Struthio camelus: one gene and its partners. The protein of the gene in region 2 interacts with the protein of the main gene of each other region in a biochemical or structural test. Links are inferred from orthologs where the notes say so. Each region holds a gene or a part of one and is shown on either strand. Other genes may lie near its edges.

Region 1 (7,903 bases), on a different chromosome or scaffold from region 2:
CAAAGCAGAGGAGTGACAGCGAGGTGCCCTGCAGCCTCTCCCAACACCCACTGCCATGCACATGGGAGAGGGGTCTGCACCCCCAACCAGCAGGCTGGGATGGGGGGGACCCCTGAGGTCACCCCACTAGGGCCAGCACTCTGCCCTCACTCCTCTGCCCCCAGCAAACGGGGGCCCCATCAGGGTGCAGGTGGCTCAAGCCACAGCCCGGGCAGGATGCATCCGGAGGGGGCTGCACCCTGCTGGGGGGGGGGGGTCCCGCAGCCCCCCACCAACCCAGCTCTGAGCTGGAGCGCCGAGACAAAGCCGGCGCGAGAGCAGAGGGGCCGCAGCAGCCCGCCGGCCCCTGCTCTCCACCTGTATGTAAATCAGCAGCACAGGGAGGGGGAAGGACGCAGCTGCGGGGGGGGGATGCAGCCGCTCGGCAGCCATATGGTCCCGGCAGCAGCGCCGGAGCAGCGTGCCGGGGCTGGAGGAGCCGGTGCCCCACGCCGGAGCCCCCCCGGGGCCGCGGGTGCAGCCTCGGCGCCCTGGGACAGCGCTGGCCAGCTGCTGTGGGAGCACAGGAATGCCGGCTGGCCCCCCCCAAGCCACCACCGCGTCCCCGCCACGGCCATCTGCCCCCAGTTACTCATTCTCCCAGGGAACATCTGTTGGGAAAAGCCTTTGCAAACAGCCAGAGCAGGTGCAAGGGGGAAGGGGAGGTGGCGGCGGCCCCGCGGGTGCAGCGATCGCAGGGGCTGGCGGGGGGGGGGGGCAGGCAGCAGGAGCCCCCCAGCACCCCCAGACAGCACTGCTGAGCACTTGGCTCTGGGTCTGACCCCCGCGCAACCTGCCACGGCCCCGCTCTCCCGCGCCCCGGGCGCTGCTGCGTGGATGCCGCAGCAGCTCTGGGTTTGCACCAGCGCTGCCCGCACCCAGGTTTATGGTGCCAGCATTGTGCAAGGGATCGGCATGTCCCCGCTGTCCCCAGCACCGGGCGGTTTCTCAACCTGCAGGAAACGGAGCTGCAGGTGATAAGTAGGTGGGTGGGTGCGGGTGGGGGGAAGCAGGGCACAGTTTGAGACATGCTCCTGCACGAAGCTGATGAAATCTTAGACAGCGCTTGCTGGGCATCACCACTGCCTTAACCTTCCTCACTGCTCTGTGCATCCCAGCCACCCGTGTCCCCTCTGCCACGGCCCATGGCCACTGGCCCCTCATGACTCCCAGTTGCCCCCAGCAGCATCCGCAGCCGGCCCCAGCTGCAGCAAGGAAGCTGAGCCGTGCCACAACCGAAAACCTGGCCAGAGCCTGGTTCAACCTGCACCGCAGGCAGGTCGGGCTGCAGCAGGAAGCAGCCCGGCTGCGGGGACTGGCAGCCGCCTCGGGGTGGGGCGGAGGGTGCCACGGCCGGGAGGGCAGATAGCGTGAGAGGGGAGGGTGAGGCAGGAAGCCCGGGGTGGGGAGCCGCTTTCGGCCGGGTTCGCGAACAGCCCCAGAGACACTTACACGTCTTCAAGCGCCTCGGGGTCCTCCTGCGTCGGGGAATCCAACCCCACTCCTGCGGGAATAAGGGGCCGAGATGAGCGGCCGGAGGAGCGCGGGGTGCAAGGCGGGCGCCTTCCCCTCGTTCGGCGGAGAGGCAGGGCGAGAGCATCGCTCAGCCCCCGCGCGCTGCGACCTGCTGGGTGCCGTCACCGGCTCATCAGGGCGCCGGGGGCTTTGCGGGAAGCCAAGGCCCCCCCCGTACAGCAGGATGGGGCCGATCCCGGGAACGGCACCCGGCCGGGCCGCCCCAGCATCACCCCCATGCTGGGCCGCCTCCCCCACCCCAGCTGCAACCAGGGACCCCACGTTAAGCAGGATCCTGCCAGCCCAGGCAGGGCACCCCGGGGAACAGCGCAGCACCCGCATGCGAACCAGAGCCTCCCGCAGACCCAGGCCCAGAGCCAGCAGCCCAGGCACCGGGAAGGGCTTTCGCACGCTCTTCCCAGAAGGGAAGAGGACAAAACCAAAAGGAGTCTCTCAAGAGGAAGTTTCCGAAACAGGAACTGCAGAGGCCGGGCCTCCGTCAGCAGCGCGGGCCTGTTTAAAATTCAGGAGTGACTCAGAGCCGAGGCCGGAGCCAGGGAGCTGCAGGCAGCCCTTCCTCCGAGGGGCTCCCACGTGCTCCGCGGCCCCCGGGCCTCCTCGAAAGCCCCTGCCCACCCCCCCCCGAGCTAACGGGGAGCCGGGTAGAGGCAGCACCCGCATCCTGCGCCCCACGGTGCAGCATCCCCCAGGCAGCCCCAGCTTTCGGGGAGCGAGAGCCAGGGTCCCAGCCCTGCCACGGGACGGGGGGTCCGGCACTCACCCGCATCCGAGGACTCGGAGGAGACGGAGTCCTGGGACGAGTCCGAGGCCACCGAGTCCTGCGACAGCCTGGACCAGTCGCTCTGGAAGGACATGCCCAGAATCCTTCTCTTGGGGGTGTCACAGTGGCTGCGGGAAGGGGAGAGGATGTGGCAGCTCAGGGGGGGACACACACATCCCTTACGGCTCTGGAGCTCTGCCCCATTTCCCCACCGTGCTGCTTTATCCCGAGCAGACCAGAATTGCTCAAGAACCCCAGATGGAGGGCAGGAGCGAGCCCACATCCACAGGGATGCCATGGGCTTTCCTGATGGGAGCCGAGATCGTGGGTGGTGGTGGGAGCAGATGAGGGCTCAAGGGCAGAGCCGGCTCAGAAGAGCTGTGGCCCTCACCGGGGCCTCAGGGCTCAGCACCCCTCCTTCACCCAACATGGGAAAGCACCGCTGCCACTCAGCCAGGCTCAGGGGATGGGGGGGGGAACAGCCCCGACAGCCCCCCCCCCCGACGGCCACACACTCACCTGCCCAGGCCCGTGAGGTTGTCCATGTCCAGGGCCAGCGTGGTCACCGGCGACATGCCGGCCGGCTCCGGGGCCAGCAGCGCCGCCAGCCCGGGCAGCCCGCAGGGCCGGCGGGGGCTGCGCCCGGGGCCCGGCGCGGCCATGCCGGGGGGGGGGGGTGCAAAAAAAATTAAAAATTAAAAAAAAAAAATAAAAGCAGCGGGGCTTGCGGCGGAGGCCGGGCTCAGCAGCAGCGGCGGCGGCGGGGCGGCGGCATGGGGGGCGGCGGGGCGCGAACCCGCGGCCCGGCGGGCGGCAGCGGCGCGGGGCTCCCGGGCGGGGAGCAGCGGGGCCGCCGCCGCCGCCGCCCCTATTTATATTCGAAAAATAACAAGGGAGGCGGCGAGGCGGCAGCCAATGGCGCCCGGCCCCAAAGCCCGGCCCCGCGCGGGGCGGGGGCAGCCGGCTGGCCGGCGGGGGCCCGGGGCCGGGGGGGGAGGCCGGGGGGGTTGGACTGGGGGTGCACGGCTGGGGGAGCGGGGGGGCTAGGGGAGGACGGCTGGGGGTGCGCGGCTGGGGGGCATGGGGGGTTGGACTGGGGGTGCACGGCTGGAGGAGCGGGGGGGCTAGGGGTGCACGGCTGGGGGGCATCGGGGGTTGGACTGGGGGAGGACGGCTGGGGGAGCGGGGGGGCTAGGGGAGGACGGCTGGGGGGGCATGGGGGGCTGGGGGTGCACGGCTGGGGGAGCGGGGGGGCTAGGGGAGGACGGCTGGGGGGGCATGGGGCTGGGGGTGCACGGCTGGGGGGCATGGGGGGCTGGGGGTGCACGGCTGGGGGAGCGGGGGGGCTAGGGGAGGACGGCTGGGGGTGCACGGCTGGGGGGCATGGGGGGCTGGGGGTGCACGGCTGGGGGAGCGGGGGGGCTAGGGGAGGACGGCTGGGGGGGCATGGGGGGCTGGGGGTGCACGGCTGGGGGAGCGGGGGGGCTAGGGGAAGACGGCTGGGGGGGCATGGGGGGCTGGGGGTGCACGGCTGGGGGGCAGGGGGGGTTGGACTGGGGTTGCACAGCTGGGGGCCCGGGGGGGTTGGACTGGGGGTGCACGGCTGGGGGCGCGGGGGGGGCTAGGGGAGGACGGCTGGGGGGGCATGGGGCTGGGGGTGCACGGCTGCGGGGGCATGGGGGGTTGGACTGGGGGTGGACGGCTGGGGGGGCATGGGGGGCTGGAGGTGCATGGCTGGGGGGCAGGGGGGGTTGGACTGGGGTTGCACAGCTGGGGGGGCCGGGGGGGTTGGACTGGAGGTGCACGGCTGGGGGGGCATGGGGGGGCTGGCCTGGGGGTTCACGGCTGGGGGGGGCAGTGGGGGTTGGACTGGGGGTGCACGGCTGGGGGGGCATGGGGGGCCGAGGGGGCACGGCTGGGGGGACGGGGGGGGCCGAGGCTGAGGGGCACGTCCAGGGGGGCATGGGGAGGCTAGGGGAGGACAGCTGGGGGCATGGGGGGACTGGACTGGACTGGGGATGCACAGCTGGGGGGGCATGGGGGGCTGGGGGGGCATGGCTGGAGGGCTGGGGGGCTAGGGGAGGATGGCTGGGGGCATGGGGGGCCTGGACTGCAGGAGCACGGCTGGGGGTGCAGAGCTGGGGGAGCATGGGCATGGCTGGGGGTGTCCAGCTTGGGGGGCATGGGGGGCTAGGGGTGCACAGCTGGGGGCATGGGGGGACTGGACTGGACTGGGGATGCACAGCTGGGGGGGCATGGGGGGCTGGGGGGGCATGGCTGGAGGGCTGGGGGGCTAGGGGAGGATGGCTGGGGGCATGGGGGGCCTGGACTGCAGGAGCACGGCTGGGGGTGCAGAGCTGGGGGAGCATGGGCATGGCTGGGGGTGTCCAGCTTGGGGGGCATGGGGGGCTAGGGGTGCACAGCTGGGGGCATGGGGGTCTGGACTGGGGGTGCATGGCTGGGGGGGCTGGGGGTGCACGGCTGGGGGGCAAGGGGAGCACAGCTGGGAGCAAGGGGGGGCCTGGACTGGGGGTGCGGAGCTGGGGGGGCTGGGGGGCTAGGGGAGGACAGCTGGGAGCCTGGGGGGCCTGGACTGGGGGTGCACGGCTGGGGGGCTGGGGGGCTAGGGGAGGACAGCTGGGAGCCTGGGGGGCCTGGACTGGGGGTGCACGGCCGGGGGGGCTGGGGGTGCACGGCTGGGGGGGCTGCAGGGGCTCGGCCAGAGGGGAACGGCTGGGGGGGCTGGACTGGGAGCTAGGGGGGCATGGTGGCTAGAGGAGCACGGCTGGGGGCATGGGGGGGCTGGAGGGGCATGGGGGGTCGGGGGGCATGGCCGGGGACATGGGGGGCTGGGCTGGGGGGCATGGGGAGCTAGGGGTGCACAGCTGGGGGGCATGGGGGGGCTAGACTAGGGGTGCAGAGCTGAGGGGGCATGGGGAGCTGGGGGGGAAGGTCGGGGGACATAGGGGGCTGGCCTGGGGGTGCATGACTGGGGAGCATGAGGGGCTGGGGGGGAATGGGGGGGCTGGCCTGGGGGGTGCACAGCTGGGGGTGCATAGGGGGCTGGGGGGTCATGACTGGGGGGTGCATGGGGGCTGGCATGCGGGGGCATGACTGGGGGTGCATGGGGACTGGCCTGGGGGTGCACAGCTGGGGGGCATGACTGGGGTGCATAGGGGGGCTAGCCTGGGGGATGCAGAGCTGGGGGTGCATGGGGGGGCTGGGGGGGCATGACTGGGGGGGCATGGGGACTGGCCTGGGGGTGCACAGCTGGGGGGCATGACTGGGGTGCATAGGGGGGCTAGCCTGGGGGATGCAGAGCTGGGGGTGCATGAGGGGGCTGGCGGGGCATGACTGGGGGTGCATGGGGACTGGCCTGGGGGTGCACAGCTGGGGGGCATGACTGGGTGTGCATAGGGGGGCTAGCCTGGGGGATGCAGAGCTGGGGGTGCATGGGGGGGCTGGGGGGGCATGACTGGGGGTGCATGGGGACTGGCCTGGGGGTGCACAGCTGGGGGGCATGACTGGGTGTGCATAGGGGGGCTAGCCTGGGGGGTGCAGAGCTGGGGGTGCATGGGGGGGCTGGGGGGGCATGACTGGGGGTGCATGGGGACTGGCCTGGGGGTGCACAGCTGGGGGGCATGACTGGGTGTGCATAGGGGGGCTAGCCTGGGGGATGCAGAGCTGGGGGTGCATGGGGGGGCTGGCGGGGCATGACTGGGGGTGCTGGCTGGGGGTGCATGCAGCGGGGTGCAGGGCTGGGGGTGCATGGGGAGGTGGGGGGCATGACTGGGGGGGCATGGGGACTGGCCTGGGGGTGCACAGCCGGGGGGCATGACTGGGTGTGCATAGGGGGGCTAGCCTGGGGGATGCAGAGCTGGGGGTGCATGGGGGGGCTGGCGGGGCATGACTGGGGGGGCATGGGGACTGGCCTGGGGGTGCACAGCTGGGGGGCATGACTGGGGTGCATAGGGGGGCTAGCCTGGGGGATGCAGAGCTGGGGGTGCATGGAGGGGCTGGGGGGGCATGACTGGGGGTGCTGGCTGGGGGTGCATGCAGCGGGGTGCAGGGCTGGGGGTGCATGGGGAGGTGGGGGGCATGACTGGGGGGGCATGGGGACTGGCCTGGGGGTGCACAGCCGGGGGGCATGACTGGGTGTGCATAGGGGGGCTAGCCTGGGGGATGCAGAGCTGGGGGTGCATGGGGGGGCTGGGGGGGCATGACTGGGGGGGCATGGGGACTGGCCTGGGGGTGCACAGCCGGGGGGCATGACTAGGGGTGCATAGGGGGGCTAGCCTGGGGGATGCAGAGCTGGGGGTGCATGGGGGGGCTGGGGGGGCATGACTGGGGGGGCATGGGGACTGGCCTGGGGGTGCACAGCCGGGGGGCATGACTAGGGGTGCATAGGGGGACTAGCCTGGGGGGTGCAGAGCTGGGGGTGCATGGGGGGGCTGGGGGAGTATGACTGGGGGTGCATGCGGGGTGCTGGCTGGGGGTGCATGCAGCGGGGTGCAGGGCTGGGGGGGGTGCACAGCACTCTGGGTGTAGGGCCTGAGCGGGGTACGCAGCCAGGGCGGTACCCGAAGGGGGAGCGCTCAGCCGGGGGCTGCAGTGGGGAGGAGCACGTGGCTGGGGGGAGGCGTGGGGGGTGCGCAGTTAGGGGGTGCGCGGCAGGGAGCAGAGTGGGAGGGGTGCAGGGCTGGGGGGGCAAGGGGGGTGCACGGTTGGGGTCAGCCCCACAGATGCTGGAGCTGGCCCCACAGATGCTGGGGTCAGAGCTGGGGACAGCCCCACGGATGCTGGGGTCGGAGCCCCCCGGATGCTGGGATTGGCGCCAGGGTCAGCCCCCCTGCATGCTGGGGTCAGCCCCATGGATGCTGGGGTCAACCCCACGGATGCTGGGGTCGAAGCTGGGGTCAGCCCCCCTGCATGCCGGGGTCAGCCCCATGGATGCTGGGGTCAACCCCACGGATGCTGGGGTCGAAGCTGGGGTCAGCCCCACGGATGCTGGGGTCAGCCCCATGGATGCTGGGGTCAACCCCACGGATGCTGGGGTCGAAGCTGGGGTCAGCCCCCCGGATGCTGGGGTCAGCCCCATGGATGCTGGGGTCGAAGCTGGGGTCAGCCCCCCGGATGCTGGGGTCAGCCCCACGGATGCTGGGGTCGAAGCTGGGGTCAGCCCCACGGATGCTGGGGCCAGCCCCCCGGATGCTGGGGTCGAAGCTGGGGTCAGCCCCACGGATGCTGGGGCCAGCCCCCCGGATGCTGGGGTCAGCCCCATGGATGCTGGGGTCAGAGCTGGGGTCAGCCCCCCGGATGCTGGGGTCAGCCCCATGGATGCTGGGGTCAGCCCCCCGGATGCTGGGGTCGAAGCTGGGGTCAGCCCCCCGGATGCTGGGGTCAGCCCCACGGATGCTGGGGTTGGAGCTGGGGTCAGCCCCCCGGGTGTTGAGGTCAGCCCCACGGATGCTAGGGTCGGAGCTGGGGTCAGCCCCCCGGATGCTGGGGTGGGAGCCCCCCGGGTGCTGGGGTCGGAGCTGGGGTCAGCCCCCCGGATGCTGGGGTCAG
Region 2 (7,997 bases):
CTCAGGATTCATTTACCTCAGTAAATGTTTATTTCCTTGTAGACTTGCTTCTTCTTGTGTTTGCAATACCAGACACCAAAAATACATTTTTAACTGAGGTGTAATAAGCTACTAAAGATTACTTGCCACACAATTCTTAGCGCATTACACCTATCCAACTGCCTGCAGCCAGAACTCCCTGATCACGTAGAAGAAGGTGATGCACGTTCAGCCCCTGCCACAGCACAGTGTACTTTCACTGTTAATAGCACCTGGAATTCTGCTCCTTATAGCAGAGTAAATTCTGTATTACTGGGCTTCTTCACCTGCTGAGGTGTATTATGTCAGTCTTCAAACCATGGTCTTACCTTATTCTGTAACTACCGCAACTTCGTTGTAAAGATCCACTGAAAAGTCAATTTGAACATGACAAAGCCAATTTCTGCAGATCTTTATTTCTACGCTCACTGAAGATGATGTTTTACTTTATAAACTCACACTTTTACGTAAAAGGAAAGTTTTCAAGATGTCTTAAAGACCTCTGGAGAATTTGTTTCTTGCAAAGAAACACTAAGTGAAAGAAACACACACCCAGTTACTTTAAATGCTTTTAACAATGTACTAGGTCTCATCTGAAGAAAAAAATTCATGTATCATTTTGTTTTCCGCTGATCTTATGAACAGATAAGCTTACTAACCGCAGTGCAAACAGACATGAGACCAAATCCTCTGCGACTCTGCAATTACATGGAGTAACACTGTCTGTGGGTCTCAAATACCTTTGCACAGACATGCTCCTCAGCAGCGCAGACGATTTTCCTCCTTACGCTAACCCTCACAACAGTTGCGGAAGTTACTGCACTGACTTCCCCTACCACAGCATGATATTGTGCATGACGTTCCTCAGCCAAGTTCACAGTCTTACTCCTCAGGACAGCAGCATACATGAATACTGTTTCTCTCTCTCAAAGAGAAGAAAAGAGAGGGCAAAAGAAACTCCACTCACCAGCACAGTGGTGCAGATGGACCTGAGCTCAGATTCCACCTTCTCCCGATAGTCCTTGATAAGCTGCATCTTCTTGTCACTGGTGTCTGTCTTCTGCTCAATGCTAGAGATGACCCTCCAGGCAGAGCGCCGCCCACCCACTACGTTCTTGTAGGCCACAGAGAGCAGGTTGCGCTCCTCGTTGGAAAGCTCAGCACCTTGCTCGGTTACTGCCTTCATGCAGGTGGCCATATCATCATAGCGCTCAGCCTGCTCAGCCAGCTTGGCTTTCTGGATCAACTCGGTCTTATCCATGGTGGCTGGCAGAGGGGTGAGAGCAGTAGAGTAGCAAAAGCAGGAGAAGCTGGGGATGTCACACTGTCAAGAAGAGAACGCCCTGAAAACCTGCCAGAAAGAAGACAGTAACCATGACTCTGGGTTGAAGTGATACAGAACATGATCTTATGCTGCTCCTCATAACTAGGCCTGTAGCGAGTCTTGTATCCTCTTCCTCATCTCCAGGAGCGTTTCCTGGATTGAAGGACTGGCAGCATCCTGCTCCTCCATGCAGAGCTAGGGGGAGAGGCACCAGTCTCAAGGGCCCATCCCTAGGGAAATGGCGACCTAGAAACTGAACTGGGGAAGGCATACTCAGCTCTACCCAGAGGGAAGCAGCCTAAAGACCAAGTGCTGGAGACAGCTATCTTTTCAGAGCTGCCTTTTTGTCCTCACTCTGCTTCCCTTCCTTACCTCAAGTGAACAAATTAACACACTGCTTAGCAAGAACCTGGAGAAAGATATCTAGCCACCAGTAAGCCCTGCCCAAAGTCCATCCCCTGTACACCATCTGCCCTGCAGGTGAGCACTGAAAAAGGAGGGGGTATGCCAAAGCCATTACAAGAGATTGGAACCAGCAAGGAAAAAAAGAAATCCTCCTCCCCAGAAACAAACAAACAAACAAAAAAAAAACCCCAGCGATAAGTTTGCCCCTAGGAACCCAAGGAACGGTTTAAAAATAAACCGGCGAACAGCGAGGGAGGCCCGGGGCGCCAGGCCAGGTGCAGGACGGGAAGCGCGGCGAGGAGACCCGTCTCTCCTCGGGCTCCCGCGCTCCGCTCCGCTCGACGAGACCCGCGGGGCGGGCGAGGCCGAGGGAGCCGGGAGAGGCCCGGGCGCGGCGGGGCGGCCGGCCCCGGGCAGCTTCGCCTCCTGGCGGCGGGGCGCGGCGGGCGGCGACAGGGCGGGGGAGCGCCGCAGGGTCCGGGGCCTCCCCGCCTCCACCCGGCCGCGGCGGGAGCGGCGGCGACTCCGGCCCCGGGACGGCGGCCCCCAGCGCCGCGGGGGGCGCGGCGGCGGCTCCGCATTCCCGGGCGGGCGGGCGGGGAGCGCTGTGGCACGGCAGTGGGTGGGGTCTCGGCCCCGGCGAGGGCGGGGGCCCGGCGGCTCCACGCCGCGGCCGGCCGCGTCCCCAGGGACAGCGGGGGGGGGGTTAGGGGGGTGGCGAGGAGGTGGCGGGGCGAGAGGCGAAGGCGGCCGGAGGCTGGCCCCGCGGCGGCGGGGCGGAAAGAGGAAGCCGGCGGCCCCGCCGGGTGCGAAATGGCGGCGCTGGCTGGCGGCACCTCCCGCTCCCCGGGGCCGCCGAGGACTCCACGCCGCGCTCACAAAATGGAGGACGCGGCGGCGGTGGCGCGGAGCCCCCTCCCGCCGGCGGGCGCGCGGCGCCCCGCTCACCTGAGTCCGCGCGCTAGGCCGGGCCGGCTGGCGCCACCGGATCGGCTGCCTCGCTCGGGGCTGTGGCGGAGAGAAAGAGCCGCTCCCGTCTCAGGCAAGAGCCAGCGCTAAAGGGCGTTGGCACAGGCAAGCCTACCCGCTGCTCAACCCGCGCCCACGCGGCCAATCAGAGCGTCTTCTTCGCCCGAGGCCCCGCCCCTTCGCGCCCCGGCAGCCAATCGGAGCACAGCGCGCCGCCGCGGGGGCGAGCGCAGGCAGGGCACAAGCTCGGTTGGCCCGTGGGCTGCGGCTGGGGCCACGGGGTTTCCTCCAATTAGATCCAGGGTGAGATGACGTCACTGTCGCCATAGTGATGCTGCTACAACCCCCCCCTTCCCCCCCCCGCTGGCGTGCCCCCCTCCTCCCCCCAGCCGCACCACCTCCTCGCCCTGGCAGCCGGGGCTCGGCCGCGGCACGAGATAGCGCGGGGGCGCGGCCGGGGCGGCTCGTGCGGCGGCGGCGGCGGCGGCGGCGGCGGCGGCGGCGGCGGCGGGGGGGAGGGGGGCGGCCGTGGTGGCGCGAGGGGCCGCGGCGCGCGCCGCGGGGGGAGGGGAGGAAGCGTCCGGGCGCTGCCGGGTGGGAGGGGCGCGGCGGGGCGGGGGCTCTCTGCCAGGGGGCCGCCAGGCGGGGGCCTCCCCCCTTCCCCCGCGGCCGCGCGCCCTCCGCCTCCCGAAAAGGCCGCGGCTGCTCTTCCGCCTCCAGGTCGCTGCGGCCAGCGCTGGGCCCCCGCGGGGGCCGGGCCGGGCCGGCGGCGCCGCCGCTGACAGGGTGCGTGAGGGCCGCGGCGGGCGAGGGGCCCGCCGGCCCTGGGGAAGAGGTGCCGGAGACTGCGGTGCTGCTGGGGCGCAGACGTGGGCGCGGGGGTCGGCGATGGCGCCGGCTTCGGGAGATGGAGGAGCAGGAGGCTTTGGGACGGCTCTTTTGGGCGGTCGGCAGCAGCAGAAGCCGTTGACGGAGGCTGTTGGGCTCCCGGCGTTGGTGGGGCCGCGCTCGCCGCGTGCACTTGCGTGGCTAGGTGCGCGGTTTTCCCCGGGGCAAATGGACAGTCAGGGCTTGAGTTCTCCCTGACTGCAGGACACGGAGCCCGGTGTTGGGCTCTCACAGCAGAGGAATGAAGATAATGATAGGGTGAGAGTGGGGTGTCTCTGACAAAGGAAGTTATGCCCTTTCGGAGCCACTGGTCTAGGATGAGGTGTGTTTTCCTGAGGCCAGAGAGGAGGAAGGACCAATAAGGTCTGTCATACATTCCTCCCTGTTTCTCGACCTAATGGTAGAGTCTGGAGGAATTTCTTTTTGTCAGGAATAGTTAGTTGCTCTGGCCCTGGAGACGCTTATCCTGACATGCAGTATTCTCAATGATAGATTTCAGAAGCCGTTTATATGAAGCTATCATGACTGTGCTCTGCCCTTAGGGTCTGGGTGAGAGGAAAGTTGATTTTAGAGATGTAATATTCCTGTGGTCGTGAGGCCGTGGGCAGGGGAAGACAAGCATTTGGCACAAGCGACAGTCAATATATTTGCTTTTTTTCCTTTCATCTGGAGTTAATTCTCAAGAGGTCAGAGATACAATGGACAGAGGTTAGAATTTTAGGTTCGTGCTGTTACGTACTGAATAATAAAATGCTTTCCAGCCATGAATTAATAGATGTGAGGCAACTATTGCTGCTTGTCTTTTCGAAACGCTAATTGGATGGTCTTCTTCATGCTTTAGCATGATTTTTTTCTAGACTCATACTGCCTGAGTCTCAGAGGAAGTGGTAAAGAGATAGTGGGTTTGTGTTGTTTGCCACAACATTCAGCATACAAAATCCAGGAGTGGATCAGATACTGTCTGTCAGGCCTTAGGCTAGTTTGGGTTCACAAATATCTGTGCACTACAAAGTCTCTGTGTTGAAGTGACGAAATTTCTCACCTTTGATTTCAGCATCGCCAAATATAGTAATGTTCAGCAACTTCAGCATCCAGATGGGATGATGAATTCTCTGAATCAACCTCAGGATATTGTCTCAGCTTGTAAAGTTCTTGATCTTTGTTTGGACTAGGACTGAGATTATATATGTGGAAATTAGGTCTATGCTGTGAAGAAACCATTATTTGTCCTTGCCATGTAAGTTTGGGCATTTATTCTATTATAGCAAAGGACCTATTGATAATACTCTGTTCAAAGTTAATGAAATTCTGTCATAAAGCCTTATGGAAATATATAACTTATCCCAGAAATTACTGTCCTGGCAACTTGCTACAATTTTACATTGCCTTTTTATTCTTCCTTGTCAATAGGATATTTTCACTTAAGTGCCTAATGATCGCCCCCATTCACATATGAAGTGAAAGTGGTAATAAAAAATCACTAAATCAAAACTGACCAGTGGCAGCACAGAACCTTTCTTGATTAATGTCACGTCTCCATCAGAAATAAAACAATGTCACCTACAAAGCATGGATAAGTAGATTTTATTGGAGCAAATCTGACCTAATGAAAGGCAAAGCTGATCTAATCAAGACTACTTCCTTCACTGTCCCTCCTCAAAAATTAGGAAAATATTAGAATTACAGTCTGCCATACAATTTAGTTCACACCTCTCTCCCACCCGTTGTAAGCTTGCATTAAGAGATGCAGGACCATCATAAAAAAACTGGGAAATGCTGGGCATAGCAAGTCATAGGCACAGAGGACTTGATATCAGCTGTGCAATGAGTCCAGACTTACCTGCACGTATCGAGTCTGCTTTATATGTGCAGGTCAGCTGCATGGCCTGTGTCTGGCTTCAGACCTATTAGGTGTTGTGGCTGCTGTCTAGGTTTGTTCAGATTTGGGTCCTGTGGATTTATATGCCTTAAGACTGCATCGTGATATGGTCTTTAATGACCTAGCCATAAGCTAGTTTCCCCAGAGGAACCCTCTCTCACAGTAGGGATGATATTCTTGGGAGAGCTTTTATGAGAGGAGGCTAGAAGAATTTCCTGCCTTTAGTTTAGCAATATAAAAGCTAAGAGGGAGATTTTACGTTGTCTTAAAAGGAGTACAATAAATAACAAGGTGGGAGAATTGTGATTTAAACTGAAGACAAATGTGTATAAACTGTCAATTAAGGAATTTAGGCTTAGAATTAGAAGATCTTGGCTTCTCAGAGCAATGGAGTTATGGAACGGCTTTCTTTTATTGAGGGCAAGAAGCCCACCTGCTCTGAAGGCGGACAGCTTATAAGAAGGATTTTGTGATGTAGTCACCTGAGATAGCAGGAGACTAAACTGCAGAAGCTTTACAATTCTGTGTTTCTAGTTAATATGGTTTTTAATGCTTATTGCATGTATATTTTAATGTACAGTTTCCTGCACAGCATTACATTTCATTGAATCTAAAATTATTAATTTCCTTTAAGGCTTTTCAGGAGTGCTATCATCCTGCTAAACATTAATGACTTTATTTCTGTAACAGGGTTATGAAATGGATGGTATTATCCTATCTTACATTCAGGAAATGGAAAATATCAGCACTTCCAGATACATATATGGAGAAATGGAAGACCTTCAATTCCAGAGTAGAAAACACTTTATAATATTCAATGTATACTGAAAGTTCACATCCCACTGACTTCAGGTGTACCTGCTGATATTCAGCATCTCTGCGTCTCTGCCACAGATTACTCAAATGAGATGGGAGGGACATGGGAAATGTTGCTCACATTTGAGAGTAAAATCTGAGCCTTTGACTGACACTTTCTCTTCACTCATACCTACAGTAGTTACTGTTAGATTCCGCTTCTCTCTTGCGGTGAAACAGGTATCACATTATTGCACGTAACAGTATTTCTCTGCATCCTTTCCTTCTGTATCATGTGGTACTGAAGAGTGGAAAGAGCTCTGGGGAGTAGAATCAAGCTTACTTTATCTGTGTTTCTACCCCCCCCCACACACACACCCACATAGATTGCCTTTCCTCCTTTTGGCCTCTGGGTGAGGGAGGATGCTGGCTAAACGCAGAACAGTTCCCTTCATGCTGTTAGCATAAAAAGTAGAGGTATGTTAGTACTAGTCCTAAGCAGGTCCTGTGAACCTCATGTGAAGTGACTCCAAAGCCTGGGAGAGAGCCACAGAGGATTCCTGCTCAGCAAGACTGTGCACAGTTCTAGCTAGACACAAAGCCTTCGCAGATCCTCTCTTACTTTCTTCCCTGGCTCTGTCCCAACAATAGTGAGCTGCAAGTGGGAGGACAGGGGAGCCAGATGGAGCCAAATGCAATCCCTGAAAGGTGAGGTGTACCTTTTTTAAGGAAAGGAAACAAATAGCCTTTTAATGGCTTTTTCTCAGTTAAATGCAACTTGCTCTGCCAAAACATAATAAACGGCGCCCTCATGCATGAACAAACAGGAGTGGCAAAAGTCACTGAGACTGTCAAGTAAATTTTATCCTCCTGAAGCTTTTTCTCTCAGGAGGTAACAGTAGGGCCCATAGAATTAAGATAAATGCAGCTAATTTCCTTTTAATGATGATTTGATTATTCTTTCATTACAAGTAACTAGTTCCCTTTTCTAATTATATGGCTTGCTTTTATCCAAGAAAAATTACCCAGTTTATGGGATTGTACCATTAAGGTCCCGCATCCATGAACAATTCGTTGTGGTGCTATGAAATTGCTAGTTTCATAAAATGTCTATATTGCAAAAGATATGTATAGATTTTTGTCTCTTCTGCTATTTTGCAATGGCAGTGACAACTGAGAAAGCAGGTAGGAGGAATGGGTGTGCAAGACATAAAAATGAAATGCATAGGGCAGAAAGCATAAACCCTACACGTTTAGCATGGCTTTAAGGGAGTGAGTAGTATTGGAGGGAAGGGGGCACTGGGGAGCAAGACAGAAATGTATAAAGGTGCACTGGTACTTCATCAGTTGGTTGTTTAGTAAATTCAGAGAAAGCTCTTTCTGTTATGCCTTTGATCTCTGCACTTCTTCCTTTTCATCTCCATCTTCTTCCCCTGCAGCTGCCTTATGAATGCACGTTATCCAAAGGGGAGATGTGACATCAGTCAACCAGATTACACAAGGTGGGGGGGTGATTGGTGGCAGGCAGTGTAGTTAACAGTATGTTTAAGGTATGAAGAAGGGCTCAAGGCCCACAGGCAGGTTGCTGCGGGCCACTATGATTAGCTTGGTTTCCTAGTCTTGCGTAGGTGTGACGGCCCAGGGGTGTAAGCAGGCAAAGCTGGTGCAGAGAGGTAATATCTCTTACTAGATCAGCTGATAGAGTTGGAAAAAAATAGA
Region 3 (7,762 bases), on a different chromosome or scaffold from region 2:
GAGGTACCATCTACCCATTTCATCACTTCGAGGAAACTTGAAAATAATAAGTATTTTATCTAAAGATCACACTACAGTACATACTCCTTCGTAATTGACACAAGCAAACCAGTATTTTCATAATATCAAGGGTAAGCAATACTTTAAATCATTTCAGGAAAAGAGAAAAATATTAATCTATAAGATATGAAAAGAGTTACCTCATAATGGTCCTAGATACCTATGTACTTTTTTTTAAAATAAGGTCTCTGCCAATACATAGAGTAACTTTGTACATATACACAGTCCTATTACGTGTAGTGAAGTGATGCATGTTAGTGAAATTATATATACATACATACTTGCAGATTTAAGCTTAAAACAAAGTTTCTCAGGATTAATAACATACAAATTAATCTGCAGAATAGAGGGAGGTATAGGCCACCATCTGAAAAAAAGCCTATCTTTCTTTCCATTTTCCCTTTCCTTAAACCTCTTTCTTCCCAAAGGCAGTAATTTGGGCTGTGACAGTCTGTGACTAGAAGAGAGCTCCTCATTCAAGTATACTCTGTAGAAAAGCACCTAAAAGATTATGTCTTTCAAAAAAAGACAGTCTGTAAGCTACAACAAATTAAGCTGTTCAAATTTTTTATGTCAGTGCTTACTTAATCAAGTCTGACTCTTGGATGAGAAGCCAACACATTTATTTTTCTTTAGCCAACGCTACACTGTTAGGAAAATAGGAAATTGTTAGGAAATACAAAAGATTAGACTCAGGCACATTATAAACCCATGAAACGTATATGCTACTCAAGCACAAAAATATAAACAATGAATGCAACAATCTTAGCATATTTACATTACTGCTAATATAATAGCTGATAAACAGTTATATATATAAACTATACATAACCATTATAAACCATATATAGAAAGTTATATATAAACTTATAAACAACTTATATACCTATTAAAAGCATATATCTTGTGCATAACTTCTGTGTGAGCAAGCAACAAGTTTCGTCTGGGCTTTGAAAGCAAATACAGTAATGTTAAACTGCGGGCATGTCTTTCTTCAGAATTTAACTTAATAAAGCAGTTAACCCTTTCTTAAACTAAGAAAAATATAGAATTTTAAAAATGAAGCTGCATATTTCATACCATTTTGAAAACATGTCATTAGTTGTGAAAAAAGGGAAAGTTCACCCTCTGTAGTGAGGTTTAGATGACAGAGTAAAAACAAACCCAGAGCAAAACTACCAACTTAATTTTGGACTTTTTTTTTCCCCCTAAATCTTACCTCAGTAAAAAACAAGCAGTTAAAAAAAATTTCCCATTATAACTAACCTGAATATCTGGCAGTTTTACTTTTTAGCCCTTAAAAAAATCATTGTGATACTTCTACGTGGGTCTTTCAGACAACACACAGTAGTGCAGTAAAACTGTTAACATTCAACATGATTGTTGAGGCACAGAAACTCGAAAGGACAAAGAGTAGCGGCGTTGCAGGGCAGATCCAAGTGCAATGGGTTTTAGGGTGTTCCCCGAGTGGCGCGAGACTTCTGGCTAACTCTGTCCCGTGATGCTACAATTTCGGAGGAGCAGCAAGGTAAATGCCGGGCGCTGCACCCCGCGCCGCCCCCCGGCCGGGCCCGGCGGCCGCAGCACCAGGCGGTGCCTCCCGCCCCCCCTGCGCCGAGGCCACCTGCCGGCTCGCGGGGCTGCGGCCGCTTCCGCAGACCCCCCGCGGCCGCTGCGCGCCCCGCGGCCGGGCTCGCCCAGCCCCGCGGGGGGCTGCTGGCAGCGGCCGGCGGCGGAGCAGGAGGCGGGGGCGTTGCGGTGCGACTCCCCTCCCCCCCCCCCCAGCTCGCACAAGCCTCGGCGTTGCCCCCCGGGGGCCGCCCCCAGCTCCGCGCCCGGGGCGAGCGTCACGGCGGGGCGCGGGGGGCACCGGGCAGCCCGGCAAGGGGGAAAGGGTGCGGAGCGCCGCACGCCGCTGTGAATCCTGGGCTGTCGGGGCTGGATTTTCCTTGTTGGTGTTGTTGTTTTCTTTTTTTTTTTTAAGTGGAAAGTTTCCTCTCCCAGCAGAGGCTGGGACAACATATGAACTGCCCCAGGGCGCCGCGCTGCCATCGCAGCTGACAGGTTTCTACCCCCCCCCCGCCACCCCCCGCCTTCCGAAGCAGTAAAAAGCAGGCAGATAGATCCGGCTGGGGGTTGTTTTTAATAACAGCTATTAATACAGTAACTGCATCCCTTGCCAACAAAATAAAACCCAAAGTCTCCTGCCAGCATCCCGCACGGAGCCTCCTCGGCAGCGGGACCGGGCGGCGGGGCAGGGCAGGGGGAGAGGGCAGGGGGGCAGGCAGCAGAGGAGGGGAGCCACGGCAAAGCTGCGATCGGTCTCCGTAGCCCCGGAGCTGAGTCGCCAGGGAGAGGAAAGTTCACAGCCAAGAGCAGCGCCCGCGGGCAGAGGGGCTGCCGGAGCGGCGGGGGGGGGGGGGAGGGCACGGAGCTCAAACTGGGGATTTCTTCTTACCTTCTGGTCGACAATGGAGCAAGCCATTTCCCGGACGTGGGCAAGGCTGAGGTCGCCCGAGGAGTCCTGCAGCAGCAGCACCGGCTCGCGGCTCAGCCCGATCTGGAGGTGGAAGGCGACGCCGCCGCCGCCGCCGGGAGCAGCCCCCGCCGGCGGCGGCAGAGGGCTGGGCGGCCGGATCAGCGGAGGGGCGCTCATCGAAAACTTCCCGCCGGAGCCGCCGCGGGGGAGGCAGGGAGAGAGACGCGGGCACCGCGGTGAAAAGTTTGCGGCCGCCCCAGAGGCGCCGGGCGAGCTCCCCGCGAAGTTTCAGGGAAGTCCCGCCGAGCTCCTCCCGGGCGAAAATGGCGGGGGGGGGGCGAGGGGGAGGACCGGGGAGGATGCAGACAGGAAAAGGCGGCGAGAGACGCGCAGAGCGGTGAAGGCGGGGGGGGGGAGCCCGGCCCAGCGCCGGCGAGGTGCTGCCGCCGCTCCGGCTGTTGGCGCTGTGCGCGGCGCGGGGGCGGGCCGGGCCGCGCCCTCCGCCGAGGCCAGCCGGGCCGGGCCGTCTGCCGTGCCGTGCCGTGCCGCGCCGCTCCGCCACCACACGGCGGCCGCGTCCCCACGGGCGGCAGCGCTGAAATCGCCCCTTGCCGGCGGGTGCCCCCGCGCGAGGACGCCGCCGCCTCCACCCGCCCCATCGGCGCCCGCGGGACTGGCCGCCCGCGCCCCGGCCCCCCCCGCTCCCGCCCCGGTCACTAGGAGGGCACAGCCTGCCCGGAGCAGCGGCGCCCCCCCCCCCCCATTGCCCGTCACCCTCCGTTGTGTGAGACCTTCAAAGCCGCCTTCATCCCCGTTTCCCCGTCCCCTGCGCCCGCCCCGGCCGCAGCTGGTGGCAGGTGGAGGCAGAGCCTGAGGAAGCTGCGGATTTTCCCTCGCTTCGAGGCAGTGCGGTGGGCTCCTCAGGGCTGGGTGGCAGCAGCCGAGCCTGGGCGACGGTGGGGAGATTTGCGTGGGAGTGGGAGCTTCTGCCCATCCCCGGCTCCTTCTCCTCGACCGGCACCTCCTCCAGGAGCCCCCGTCAGGGCTATCTGCGGGAAGAGATGGGGGGAAAAACTTGCACCTGTATCTTCTGTAAGCAGCTTCCAGTTTCACATAATGGGCTGTGCTGAGAAGGAGCTCCCTGCCATCTAAAACCAGGATGAGTTATTCTTCCCAACTTTCAGGATCAGCGCAAGTCCCATCCATATGCACAAACAATGTGGTGGCAGGTGACATTTAATCAAAAAAAAATGCTAATCTCCACTTGGTAATCTGTCAAATGATTGGGGAAAAAGGAATTGTGAATACCTTAGATACCAAAGGAGAAACTCTTGAGTTTTTCATATGGCACCTGTAAGGATGGCAGTTGTAAATGTGTGTTTGTACGTAGAGGTTGATCCCACATTTACTTGGTTTTTTTACAAAGTACTTTTTTGACTAAATGTACAGTAACAATGTTATTTCTTTGCCATCATATGTTTTATTGGGTCACAATTTGCTGTGGCATGTTTATTTCACACCTGGGATTTGCCACCCTTATTGTCTATATAGTTTTGGACCCAGTTTATTCTTCAGCAAGTTTTCTTTTTAAACTGTTAATTTTAATCTGTGTCCTCTACAAAATACCAAGTCTGATGAAAATGTCAGCGTGCTAGATTGAGATGATAGTTAGTCCCACTTAGTAGCTTTTCTTATTACCTTAGGAGTCATAAGTATTTTCAACCACACCCTTTGGTTTTGCTGTTGAAAATCATACCTAGTGTTGCTGTTGTCTACACTGTTTCCTTAGGTATTAACGCTTTCAGTACTGTACCCCAGCTACACTGGTTACCATTGTGAGAGGCAGTTTCCTAACAGTTCTGCATGTACTGGATATTTTGGTGCTTGGATTTTTTGGTGCATGTATATTCATGCTCCCAGATCTAAAACTGCCCAGGCATTATAACTACTGCAGGCTTCTCACCATCCTGTGGCTCAGCCAGCTACTCTGTATAGCAGTGAGCATGGGAGGACTGTGAGATCCATCTGTGTGTGAATCTATAGCAGGAAGAACACGTGAGGTCAAAGTGCCATCCCTGAATGGCGCTCTCAAGTTCAAATACAAATACAAGGCCAGAGCCACCTCATGTAACTGGAAGAAAGTTTTTCTGGACATCGCAGTTTCAAGGCCATCCACTTCTCAGCTGTTGGAAGAAGCATACTAGAAGATCCTACAGCACTGCTTCACTGTCCAGGTGCTCCCTCAATACAGTGAAGTGTCACCAGCTACTTTCAGAGTGCCTCTTCCTTAGAGCTCATTGGGACAAAAGCAGATGTAGTTCTGATGGTAATGGGGCAGTGAGCTGTCCCCCTTTTCCTGCCCTTGCTGTATTTAATTATGGGATCACATAACTGAGCGTTTCACAACATGATTCACATGATGACTTCGGCTTTCAAGGGGAAGAGCAGAAAATAAGACGCAGCCAGGGCCTTAGTTACTGTGCAGAGTTACAGCTTTTCTGCTGCTCTAAAATAACTGGAGAGGAGATGTGGACAGAGTAGGCAAGTCACCAGCATCACAGCTAACATTCCCCAGCAAATTATTACACAGTAGCAAGGCTGACAGTGATACATCCTTGTTTTTCTTATCTATGTGAAATTTAATTATATAGCTCATAGGGTCATTATGCACCCACAGATCCACATACTCAATTGTGTGGACAGAGTTACAGGGCTATCTTCGCCAGGCAAGGTTATTGTATTTTCAAAAAGTTGTAGGTTGCTGCATTATTTGATAGGTGCATCTGACATGTTGAATGCATATTTGTAATCAAAATAGATATGGGCAGGCCTTCTTCAACATTGTGTCAGCAATGCTATTTGTGTCAAATGCTATTTATAAAAAAAAAGATTTCGTGAAATCAGATGATGTGATCCTGAATACAACCTGACCTGTTGTACTGACTGAAACATCCTCTATTTCATTATCTTTCCAGATGGGAGAATTATTGCTCTGATGTGAAGGAGGAGAAAAAACCATCTACCACAGTCTGTTCTCTTCCATGTGACCTGATACAATGTGCATGCCTGGTTGAGCCTTTCTGTGCATGCACAGTTGGTCCTTGGAAACCTCTAGAATTTTGGGTTTCACTGCACAGATTAGCTAAGCAGTACATGAACTCCCACAAGAATATACAGAAGTAAAATGAGTTTACCACACATGGCTGCACAGTTTATGCATCCAGGTACGCACAGGGGAAGGGCAGTCAGGAGACAGTGCCACTGTAAGATCAACTTATGAAGGCTTGTCCCAGCTACTCGCAAGGTACAGAGCCTTACCTGTTTGCAGCATATGCACATTAAACTGGACATGATGTCAGCATTTCTTGGAATGGGACTGCTTTTCTTGCACACGTGTATCACACAACCAGGTGCTTAATTCCAAGCTATGTTGCTGTAATATTATTTCTAACTACTCTGTATTACTGCAGCATGAAAGATGAATATTGTGCTTTATAGGTTCTCATCGACTGTATGCTTGACCTCCATCCGGTTCCACTTAGAGGCCTTTCTGAAGTTGTTATCTTTCTCCTTTTCTTTCAGCTTACTACACTGTATAGATGGAATTCTGTTCTATCCCCTCGGAATAAGAACCATTCCCTTCATGAAGGTCTTACTGCTAGATTTCTGCTCTTCTCCATCTGTGATGTAACTGGTGCTTTTGACCAGTCAGCTATCCATTTATCTTTCTGCTCTTTAGCACAAGTAATTATATGGTGCATATGTGCTAATTAAAAAAAATCTAAGAACAAACACCTGAAAGAGTAAACCAGGACATACCTAAAGAATGGAAAATATTCTATAAGGCAACTGCCTTGGACATAGCCAGACCGACAGACTGGTTAGTTTTTAGGTCAATGTAGCTGACCTAAAATTTAGTCTTGAGATGTTTCCATAGGGAGTAGAGCAAAGGTAATACTATGAGATGATTACTATTGGACTTGTGAGACAGATAGTGGAATATCACGCCCTGTTCTGGGATCAATATTTGAAAAATAGGTTACCTGATAGTATAGTGTATCTAGGCAAGGAGAAAAGAGCAAGTTTAAAGCAGAGAAAGGAGTAAGAAGAAACAATTTCTAGAAGCCAGACAGAAAGCGAGACCGGAAATACACCACAAATTTTAACTGTGAGAATGAGTTATGTTCTCAGTGGGCTCCAAAAAACCAGGCAGATTTTTTTTTACTTTGACAGCACACATGTACAGATGTAGAGAAAGTCATCTTCCTTCCTCCCCTGAAAGAAGTGCATCTTTTCTACCTAAGAAATAAGGCATTTTCTGTCTAGGAAGAAACTGAGTTAGCATGGACCCTTTGTTCCTTTTGTCAGCTCCATTTGTTTGCCTCTGCTGGACTCCATAGGCTGTTCCAAACAAAACAAGAGCCTACTGATGAAGAGGGAGTTCTTCAAGCCACTGCTGAAGATAACAACTGCAACTGCTTTTTATCCTTGAAAATTTACCTCCTTAGCCTCCAACAACAGATCTTATGTTAAAGTGGGCAAGGACACTGTTGCTGAATCAGACTGATTCCCATATTTGAATTCTACCACTACAATTTTTTTTTTTGTTTCCAAGCCTTCTCTCATCTCAGACGCTCCTGAACCACACAGCTTTAGGCTTAGTGCATGGATAAGGCATTCCACTGCCATTTTTTTAAACAGTCTGGCTTCTTGACATATCGACTTGTGTTCACACTGTAGTCCATTCTAAACTCCAGATCTCTTCCTGTTAAGTAATTATTTTGAAACCATTTGGGTATATCTGTAGTTGATTATTCCTGCATAAGCATACTACATTGCACAAATCTTTATAGAATCTCATCCTATTTTTCCAGACCTTTACACCAATTTGTTTAGATCATTTGAATTCTAATCACAAATGTTTCCACTGCACTTTCAGTCCATCTCCTTTCGGTATAATCCATAAATTTGATAGGAAAATTTGATAATAATCATTCAAGTCATTAGTAAAGAATCAAACAGAACTGGATGAAGGACAGACTCCTGTGGAATTCCATTCAATATGTCTTTTCATTTTGACACAACCATACTCTTTTGGATATTATTACACAATCAGTTTTATGTCCATTTTATACTATTTTCTTCCTAGCCTGGTTTGCTGTTTGCATACGAGAACTGCTTATAAGACTGTCAAAACCCTTGTCAGTCAAAATACATCACCCC
Region 4 (7,134 bases), on a different chromosome or scaffold from region 2:
CGAGCGTGAGGCGGCGGCGGCGGCGGCCGGGCCGGGCGGACTCGCCGCCGGTTCCCCCCTTGTCCCCCCCCCTTTCTCCTCTCCCTTCCCCCTCCCCGGCCTCCCCCATGCCGGTGGCTTGGCCCCCCCCCGCCCCCTGAGCGCGGCCCGGGGCTCCCTTCTCCCTCCCGCCCCCCCCCCGCCCCGCTCCACACCGCCCTCCACGGCTTCCCCCTATCGCGATAGTCGCCGGGGGCGGGGGGGGCCGCCATGTCGAGCAGCGGCCGCAGCCCCCTGCCCACCGTCAACGAGAGGGACGCGGAGCAGGTAGGCCGGGGGCCGCGTCCCCTTGGGTGGTGCCCCCTCTCCGGGGGTTTGGGGGCGCGGCGGGCCCCGCTGGGGGGCTCGGGGACCCTCTTGGGGGGGGTAATCTCCGGGGGGGGCGGAGGGAGCCGGGGTCCCCCTGGTTGGGTGCCCTCCCCCGCCAGGGTGCGTTTGGGGGGCAGCTCGCCCTGTGCGCTGGGCGCCCCCCCCCCCAAGGGAAGGGGGCACGAGAGGGGTGCCAGCCCCCCACGTCGGGGACCCCCCTGGGGGCAGGATTTGGGGTGCAGACCACCCCTCCCCTGGTGCAAGGTGGGGTGTGTGGCATGTCCCCCTGGCTTGGGCCCCCCCCTTTTTGTGGCTGTAAGGATGGGGTGTGGGGGCGTGAGCCCCCCCCCAGCTCCGCTGGGGATGTGGGGGAGGGTTGTGGCCCTCCCAACCCAGTGGGGTATGTGGGGGTGGTGTCTCTCCCCCCCCGATTGGTGTGAGAGCCCCCTGCCGTGGGCTGACGAGGGGCTTGGGGGGGGGATTGAGGCCCTCCTGGAGCGGGGTGCGTGGGTGGCAGGACACCCACCCCTAGGGGTGGTGCCTGGTTTGTCCCCCCCCAAAAAAAAGTCTGGGGTAACCCCTTTGTGCTGAGGATGGGGGGGGCTCGGGGGTCTCCCTGGTCTGGGGTAGCCCCTCTGCTTTGGGGTGGGGGGCTTTGGGGTCACCCCTCCGGCTGGGGTGATCTGACTGTGTTGGGGGGGCTGGGGTGCCCCCAGGCTGGGGTGCCCCCTCTGCTGTGAGGTGCAGAGTTTCAGGTGTTCCCAAAACTGGGGTGACCCCCTACATTGAGGCTGGGGGGGTTTGGGATCCCCCCCCAGGTGGAGGCGACCCCTCTGCGTTGAGCCTGGGGGGCTTTGGGGGTCCCCAATACTGGCCTGAGCCCTCTGCGTCAAGCTGGGGGCTTTGGGCCCCCCCCGGGCTGGCGCGACCCCTCTGCGTTGAGCCTGGGGGGCTTTGGGGGTCCCCAATACTGGCCTGAGCCCTCTGCGTCAAGCTGGGGGCTTTGGGCCCCCCCCGGGCTGGCGCGACCCCTCTGCGTTGAGGCTGGGAGGGGTTTGGGGGTCCCCAAAACTGGGGAGACCCCCCTGCGTTGATACCGGGGGTGCGTTTCACCCCTTTTACTGGTTTGAGGGGTGCCTGCCTGGTGTCTGTCCGCGGTTTGGGGTGTTTCTCCTTGATAAATACGTTTTGGGGGACATCCTTGGTCTGTGGGTCCCCGTTTTCTGGCTCAGGGTGCCTGGGGGGGGGTGTCTGCGTAGCATCGTTCTGAGGCTCCTCCCTCACGGGAGGATTTTGGGGTCCCCTCATCCTTCCCCCGGCGTGCGGCAGCCCCCCGGTCGGCCGCCGTTTGGGGGCGGTTTGGCTGCTCCCCGCTGTTCTGCCGTGCCGGGTTCGGGGGCCGCGTCTGGGCCCAGGAGCCGGCGCCGCGCTCCCGCGACGGCAGGAGGGAGCGGGCGCATCCCGGCTCCCCGACGGGATCCAGAGGGACCCGTGGCGGGCGCAGACCAGGTACCGGCGCTCCCCCTCCGTCCGGTAACGCCGCTTCCTCGCCGTGGGGAAGGCGAGGGCCCGGCGTCGACGCCGCGAGGGACCCGACCCTTTTCCGCGTGTTTTATCGCTGCGCGGGAGACGGCGGTGGGAAAACCGACGTTGGCTGTTCGTCGGCCCGGGAACGTTGAGGGGGGGGAAAAACCCCTCCGCGCCGGGCGCTACAGCGTCTGCAGCGCCGCGCGGCCGGGCCAGGACGACCCTGCTCCGGCGTCGGACCTCGTCGGCAGAGCACGTTTGGAGGCGTTTCTTTTCCTGCTGGGGCGGGTTATATAATGGCGGCGGGTAATTATTCACGGCTTCGTTCCCGCGCTGTCGCTGTCGGGAGCGCGGAGGATCCGCCGAGGGGGCGGCTGGCTGCCGGGCCCCCGGCACCCAGGACGGCGCGGAGGGCGCAGCCGCGTTCCCAAATGGCTTCCGAGCCGGCTAAATGGCTCCTTTCCCCGCTCCCAGGACGGCGCGTAGAGACGCGTCGCGAGCCCGGCCGGGCCGGCGGCGGCGGCAGCGCTCCTGCGGGCAGCGACGTTTCTCTCTCCCTCTTCTTCCTCCTTTCGGAGACCTCGAAATCGGGGAGTCTTCCTCCGTTCCTGCAAAGCGCTCGCATCACATGGGTTTGATCTGGCGTTCTTATAAAAAAAAAAAAAAAAAACTTCAAAATAACTAAATTTGGCTGACATTTAAGCACGATTGATCTAAAGCTGTTTCATGATCTCTCTTCAGCTGCCTCGATTTTAAACTGCTGGAGGAGAAAAATAAGGCTTATGTTCCCCTCGTCCCCGCGCGGATGGCGAGAGCGGGGCTCTGCCTCTGCTGCCAACCAGCTCGCCGTTCCTCGAGAAATGCTCTTTTCCCTTCCCTTTCCCCTCTTCCCTCTGGTTTTTATTTATTCTTTTTCATTTTCCTCTTGCGAGTGGAATATTGTGGTGCATAATATGGAAAGACAAATGCAGGGCCGAATTCAGAGCCAAGATTTCTGTCATCTGCTTCCGTTAAACCCTTGTTTCGCCGATAATCCGGATTCCTGCCAAACCGCCGGCGTTCTCGCGGCGGCAGCGCGGAGAGGAGCCGCCGACACGGCTGGGCTCCTCGAGAGCGCGAGGAGCTCGCGCCGCCGTCGCCCTCTTTCTCCTCGCTGGTTCCTCGGGCTCCTTTTCCTTAAGGTGCGGATAAATCCCGGGCGGAGGTAGGAGCCTCATCCGGGCAGCGCGGTGAACTCGGCTCCGGTCTTTGGGATGCCGCCGGCGTCTGCCTTGAGCCGAAAAGCCGGCGGGGAGGAGGGGGCAGCCAGCGGCGCCGGGCTGAGCGCGAGAGCCCCGAGCGCTCAAGGTAGGCGCAGCCCCGCTGAGGTTAACAGATAAATTGCGAAACTTCCTGTTTTCTCTGGTTTATCTCGAAACGCCGCGGAGGAACCTCACGGGTGAGGGGCGTAGGCGCCGGGCGTCAAAGCCCTGCGGCCCTCGCGCCCTTCCGCTCCGGCCGGAAGCCGCTCGCGCCGCGCGGGAGCCCCGCTCGCTTGGCATCTCGTCGTCCCGCAGAAACGGGGCTCTCCCCGGCGCGTCCTCGGCTCTGTTTGGAGGCTCTCCGCAGAAAGTCGGGCCTCCGGCATGCGTCGCCCCACCGGGACCTCGGGCTCTTCTTTCGCGTTGTTGGAATCGGGATCTTTAGGCCCGATTTTAGGGCTTCGGCACGTTAACGCCGCAGCGGCGCGGCCCCGGCTCCCGCCCGGGGAAGCCCTTTTCCCTCCCCGCTGCCAGGAAAAGCCGTCGAAAGCCAGGTGAGGCGGCGCGCTGGCTTTGCCGGCCACGTGCATCCCCCCTCCCTGAGTCCGAACGCCACGGTTCGCCCGTGCGGGGAGGCACACGTGGATTTGCTTCCCCCCCCCCGGATTTCAGAGCTGCGAGCGGGAGGTGTTTCTCCCGCTTGGTGCCGGAGGGGAAGAAAATGCCGAGCCGGCGGCGAGCGCCTTCCTGGAAGAATGAGGCCACAAGGCCGCGTGGCTTCATCTACTGACCTAGTGCCGTCCCCGCCGGGAAGCGCCTTTCCCGCAGCGATCCCGGGCGGTTTGAGGCCGAACGGTGCGAGCCGGTCGCCGGGGGGGGGGGGGGCAGGGACGCGGGAGCCCTGCAGCCGCCGCCTTGGACAAGCAAGGCAGGTCCTGCCCGTCCCCGCCGGGAGCCGCCCGCGCGGCTTCAAATACGTCGGGGTTTTTTCGGGGAGGGTTCTCTTATTCCTGGCGTTTCGGATGATCGGACCGCCGGGGTGGCGGAGGGAGCTCCTGCCGGGCCGGGAGACGTGGTGGGGGGGAGCCCCGGGAGGCCGCCCGGATCGGGGTAGCGTTGGCCGAACCGGTCGAGCCGGTCTTGGGAACGGCTGGCTGGCGTTCCCGGGCCAGTCAGCACTTGGGAGAGTTCGGATCTCTCCCAGGCGCCTGGGGAACGTCCTCCTCCTCCTCCTCCTCTTCCTCCTCCGGAGCGGCGGCGCGGGGCAGGCACCGCCTCGCCCAGCTTGGCTCCCGCGGGGCCGACGGCCGGAGCCGCCGAGCCGGCAGGCAGACCGGGGTCGACTCAGCCGATCCGCCCGGGGCCGGCGAGCGCCGGAGCGCGTGAGTCCCCCTTCGCCGGCGCTTCCCGAGCCGGCGTCGCGGGCGGGGGGAGGCCGGTCGGGGCGAGGGGTGGCGGGCGGATCGCCTCCCGGGCGAGCCGCTTCCGCCGCGGCCCCTCCGGGGAGAGGGGGGTCCGGGAGCCTCCTGGGGCGTCGCTCGCTCGGAGCGATCTCCTCGGGATCGTTTCTGGCGGGGAGGGAGGAGTTGGGGCTCCGAATTGGTCCCGGGGGGCGGCCGCTCCGATGCCGGGCGGAAGGAGCGGTTCGGGCGCCGGGCGAAGCCTGCTCCGCCGAGGTACGAGCCGCGCAGGCGGGTGGGCGGCCGCGAGTTGCCCGTGCGGGGCCCAAATTGAAGGGGAAAACCCTCCCTAGCCGCCCGTGTCGGCGCCCCCCGTCGGCGGGGCTGGGCGGGTCTCCGTTGGCGTTGCTGAGGATTCCCTCCCCGTTTTCCGGCTTTCCGTAACCAAAACTCACAGGCAGGTATTTTTGGTTAAGGCGGGGCAGGTGGGTCGCGCCTGCTCGGCCGCCCGAAACGGCCACGGGGCGTTTACGAGGGGGAAAGGGCCGGTCGCTCCGGCGTTCCCAGGGAGAGCTCGCCTCCGCTGGGGCGGCGCGAAGGTCTCCCCGCTCCGCCGGCGCTCGCCTCCCTCCGCCTTTGAACTCGCCTCCTTCCCTCCGCGGCCGGGAGGGAGACGGACCGGCTCCCTCGGCGCCGGGCCAAGGATCGGGCCTGTTTTATCCGCCGGGAGACGGAGGTGAAAACGCCCGGCGCGATCGCAGCGCCGTCGGTGCTCTTCCGGCCCTCGGCGTGGCACCTCTAGGAGAGGGATCGGACCGGGAAATCTCGCCGCGCTTGGGAGCGCGCGCTGGCCGGAGGGCTTCCTCCGGCGCCCGTCTCTCCGTAGCTCAAGCCGTAGGAAGGCGCCCGAGCCGAGGACTTGACGAGACTGGAGGGTTGGGATGCGCCCGGATCTGCGGACCGTCCGCAGCGAAGGGGAGCGCGGCCCCTCGCGCTTCGGGGCCGGGAGCCGCACGAGGCCGCCCGCGCCCTTGGGGGCTGCCTCGGGTTTTGTTCCTTTTCCCCGAAATTCCCCGGGCGGGTTTCGGGGATGCGGGAACGGGGCTGGGGACGTCCCGAGTGACGTCCCGCCTGGGAGAGGCCGCGGGCCCCGCGTCCGAAACCCGAACCTCTCCCCGGGCCCGCCACCCTGCGCGGCGCTTTTCCGGCTGCGACGAAAATAGCCGCCGCTGAGGGGGAGCGCGGCGTTCCTGGGGCGCCGCTGCGGCCCCGGCGACGCGTTTCTCCTTCCCGGAGGCAGGTAGAGCTGTTCTGTTTGTGCAGCGGGTTTTTCCCCCCCCTCCTCCTTCCAGTAACTCCGTTTTTTCTGCAGCCGGAGTGGCTGTTCACGGTGGCAGAGATAATCTCAACAGCGTCTTTGTAACGGAGACTCCTCCTCGCCCTGCCTGGCACCAGCCGGGTGTCTGAAGAGCAACAGTCGTCTCAAGTACTTTTTCCCCCCCCCTTGTTCCCCTGAGCGACCGAAGCCCGGCAGATCCCCGCGGAGCCGCGGGACGGAGGCAGGAGCTCGGCCCCAGCCGCCGTGACTCCCCCGCCGAAACACGGGCAGCGGCGGCTTGGCGCGGGGCCGCTCCGGCTGCGCTCGCCCTTGGCTGCCGCCGGAGACGAGCCGGGTAACCCCTGCGCAGCGCCGGGATGCTCCGGGCGGCCCCCGAGGTTCCCCCTTTCCTCGGAGGCGGCACCGAGCGGGAGCCGGATGGGTCGGAGGCCGCGCTCGGGCGGCGCGGGAGTTGGCGGGGCTCGTCCGGAAGGAGGCCTGTTCGGCTGCGCTCCCTCTTTCGTCCCCTTTCCCTCCTGGAGAGGGAGGATGTGGGGAAACCACGTGGCTGGAAAGCCGCCGGCGTGCGGGGTCGGGGCGGTGGCGGCGGAGGGGACGGGGTGAGGGCGCCCCGGCGGCCGCGGAGGGACGAGGGCTGCCGGCAGGAATTATTCGAGCGTCGCGGGAGGCATTATTTGAGCCCGGCACCCTGCGCCGGGCGAGCCGCGGCCCGGAGTCGCGTTAAACCCCCGCGCCGGGGTGCCGGCGGGGTCTGCAGCGGCTGCAGAGAGGCTTTGGGCTGTCTTTTTCTTTCTTCTTGCAAGCGGGAGGTAGGAAGACGCGCGGGATCTGGCAGGGTCGTGATTTCCTCCGCCGCTCTCCCGAGCGGAGGTGGGTCCCTCCACGGGGCGGCGGATCGCTGTCGCAGCCCGACAGGGACGCCCCGGCCCGCTGCTCCGGGAGATCCCAGCCTCCCGGAGAACAGGCGGCGGCGGCGGCCCGTTATCGCTGCCACGGGGAGACGGGGCCCGAAAACCGCGGTGGCGGCAGCTCTGGGCTGGTGCGGGCTCGAGCCAGCGACGACCTCGGTACCTGCAGCGTCGGGCCGAGTCCAGGCGCTCCTTCCTCGCCCGCTGCTCCGGGTTGCCGCCCCCGCGGGCCGGGAGCGCTCGAATCTGGCCTGATTTGGGGGTGGGAGCCGCCGCGCGGGCGGGCGGGCGGCAGCGAGCGCCGGTTGGAAAAGCCTCGTCGCCTGGCAGAGGCTCGACGCGGGCCGCGATAAGGCCTCGGGGCGTCCGCG

Evidence for each region.
Region 1: the proteins of YWHAQ (region 2) and CDC25B form a complex in vitro, tested with the Homo sapiens proteins (2 studies listed by BioGRID). The link is inferred for Struthio camelus from reciprocal best matches to the Homo sapiens genes YWHAQ and CDC25B.
Region 3: the proteins of YWHAQ (region 2) and PRKD1 form a complex in vitro, tested with the Homo sapiens proteins (2 studies listed by BioGRID). The link is inferred for Struthio camelus from reciprocal best matches to the Homo sapiens genes YWHAQ and PRKD1.
Region 4: the proteins of YWHAQ (region 2) and MARK2 form a complex in vitro, tested with the Homo sapiens proteins (2 studies listed by BioGRID, with this or other methods). The link is inferred for Struthio camelus from reciprocal best matches to the Homo sapiens genes YWHAQ and MARK2.

The regions. Positions count from the first base shown.
Region 1 is NC_090945.1:87,092,492-87,100,394, reverse strand, and holds the start of CDC25B (M-phase inducer phosphatase 2), read right to left. Parts: upstream 3,013-7,903; 5' UTR 2,998-3,012; coding exon 2,855-2,997; intron 2,464-2,854; coding exon 2,336-2,463; intron 1,544-2,335; coding exon 1,492-1,543; intron 1-1,491. UniProt on the Homo sapiens protein: Tyrosine protein phosphatase which functions as a dosage-dependent inducer of mitotic progression. Directly dephosphorylates CDK1 and stimulates its kinase activity.
Region 2 is NC_090944.1:24,949,897-24,957,893, reverse strand, and holds the start of YWHAQ (14-3-3 protein theta), read right to left. Parts: upstream 3,011-7,997; 5' UTR 2,696-3,010; intron 1,370-2,695; 5' UTR 1,280-1,369; coding exon 986-1,279; intron 1-985. UniProt on the Homo sapiens protein: Adapter protein implicated in the regulation of a large spectrum of both general and specialized signaling pathways. Binds to a large number of partners, usually by recognition of a phosphoserine or phosphothreonine motif.
Region 3 is NC_090946.1:52,818,232-52,825,993, forward strand, and holds the start of PRKD1 (serine/threonine-protein kinase D1), read right to left. Parts: upstream 3,012-7,762; 5' UTR 2,717-3,011; coding exon 2,519-2,716; intron 1-2,518.
Region 4 is NC_090976.1:1,145,987-1,153,120, reverse strand, and holds the start of MARK2 (serine/threonine-protein kinase MARK2), read left to right. Parts: upstream 1-4,123; 5' UTR 4,124-4,138; coding exon 4,139-4,498; intron 4,499-7,134. UniProt on the Homo sapiens protein: Serine/threonine-protein kinase. Involved in cell polarity and microtubule dynamics regulation. Phosphorylates CRTC2/TORC2, DCX, HDAC7, KIF13B, MAP2, MAP4 and RAB11FIP2. Phosphorylates the microtubule-associated protein MAPT/TAU.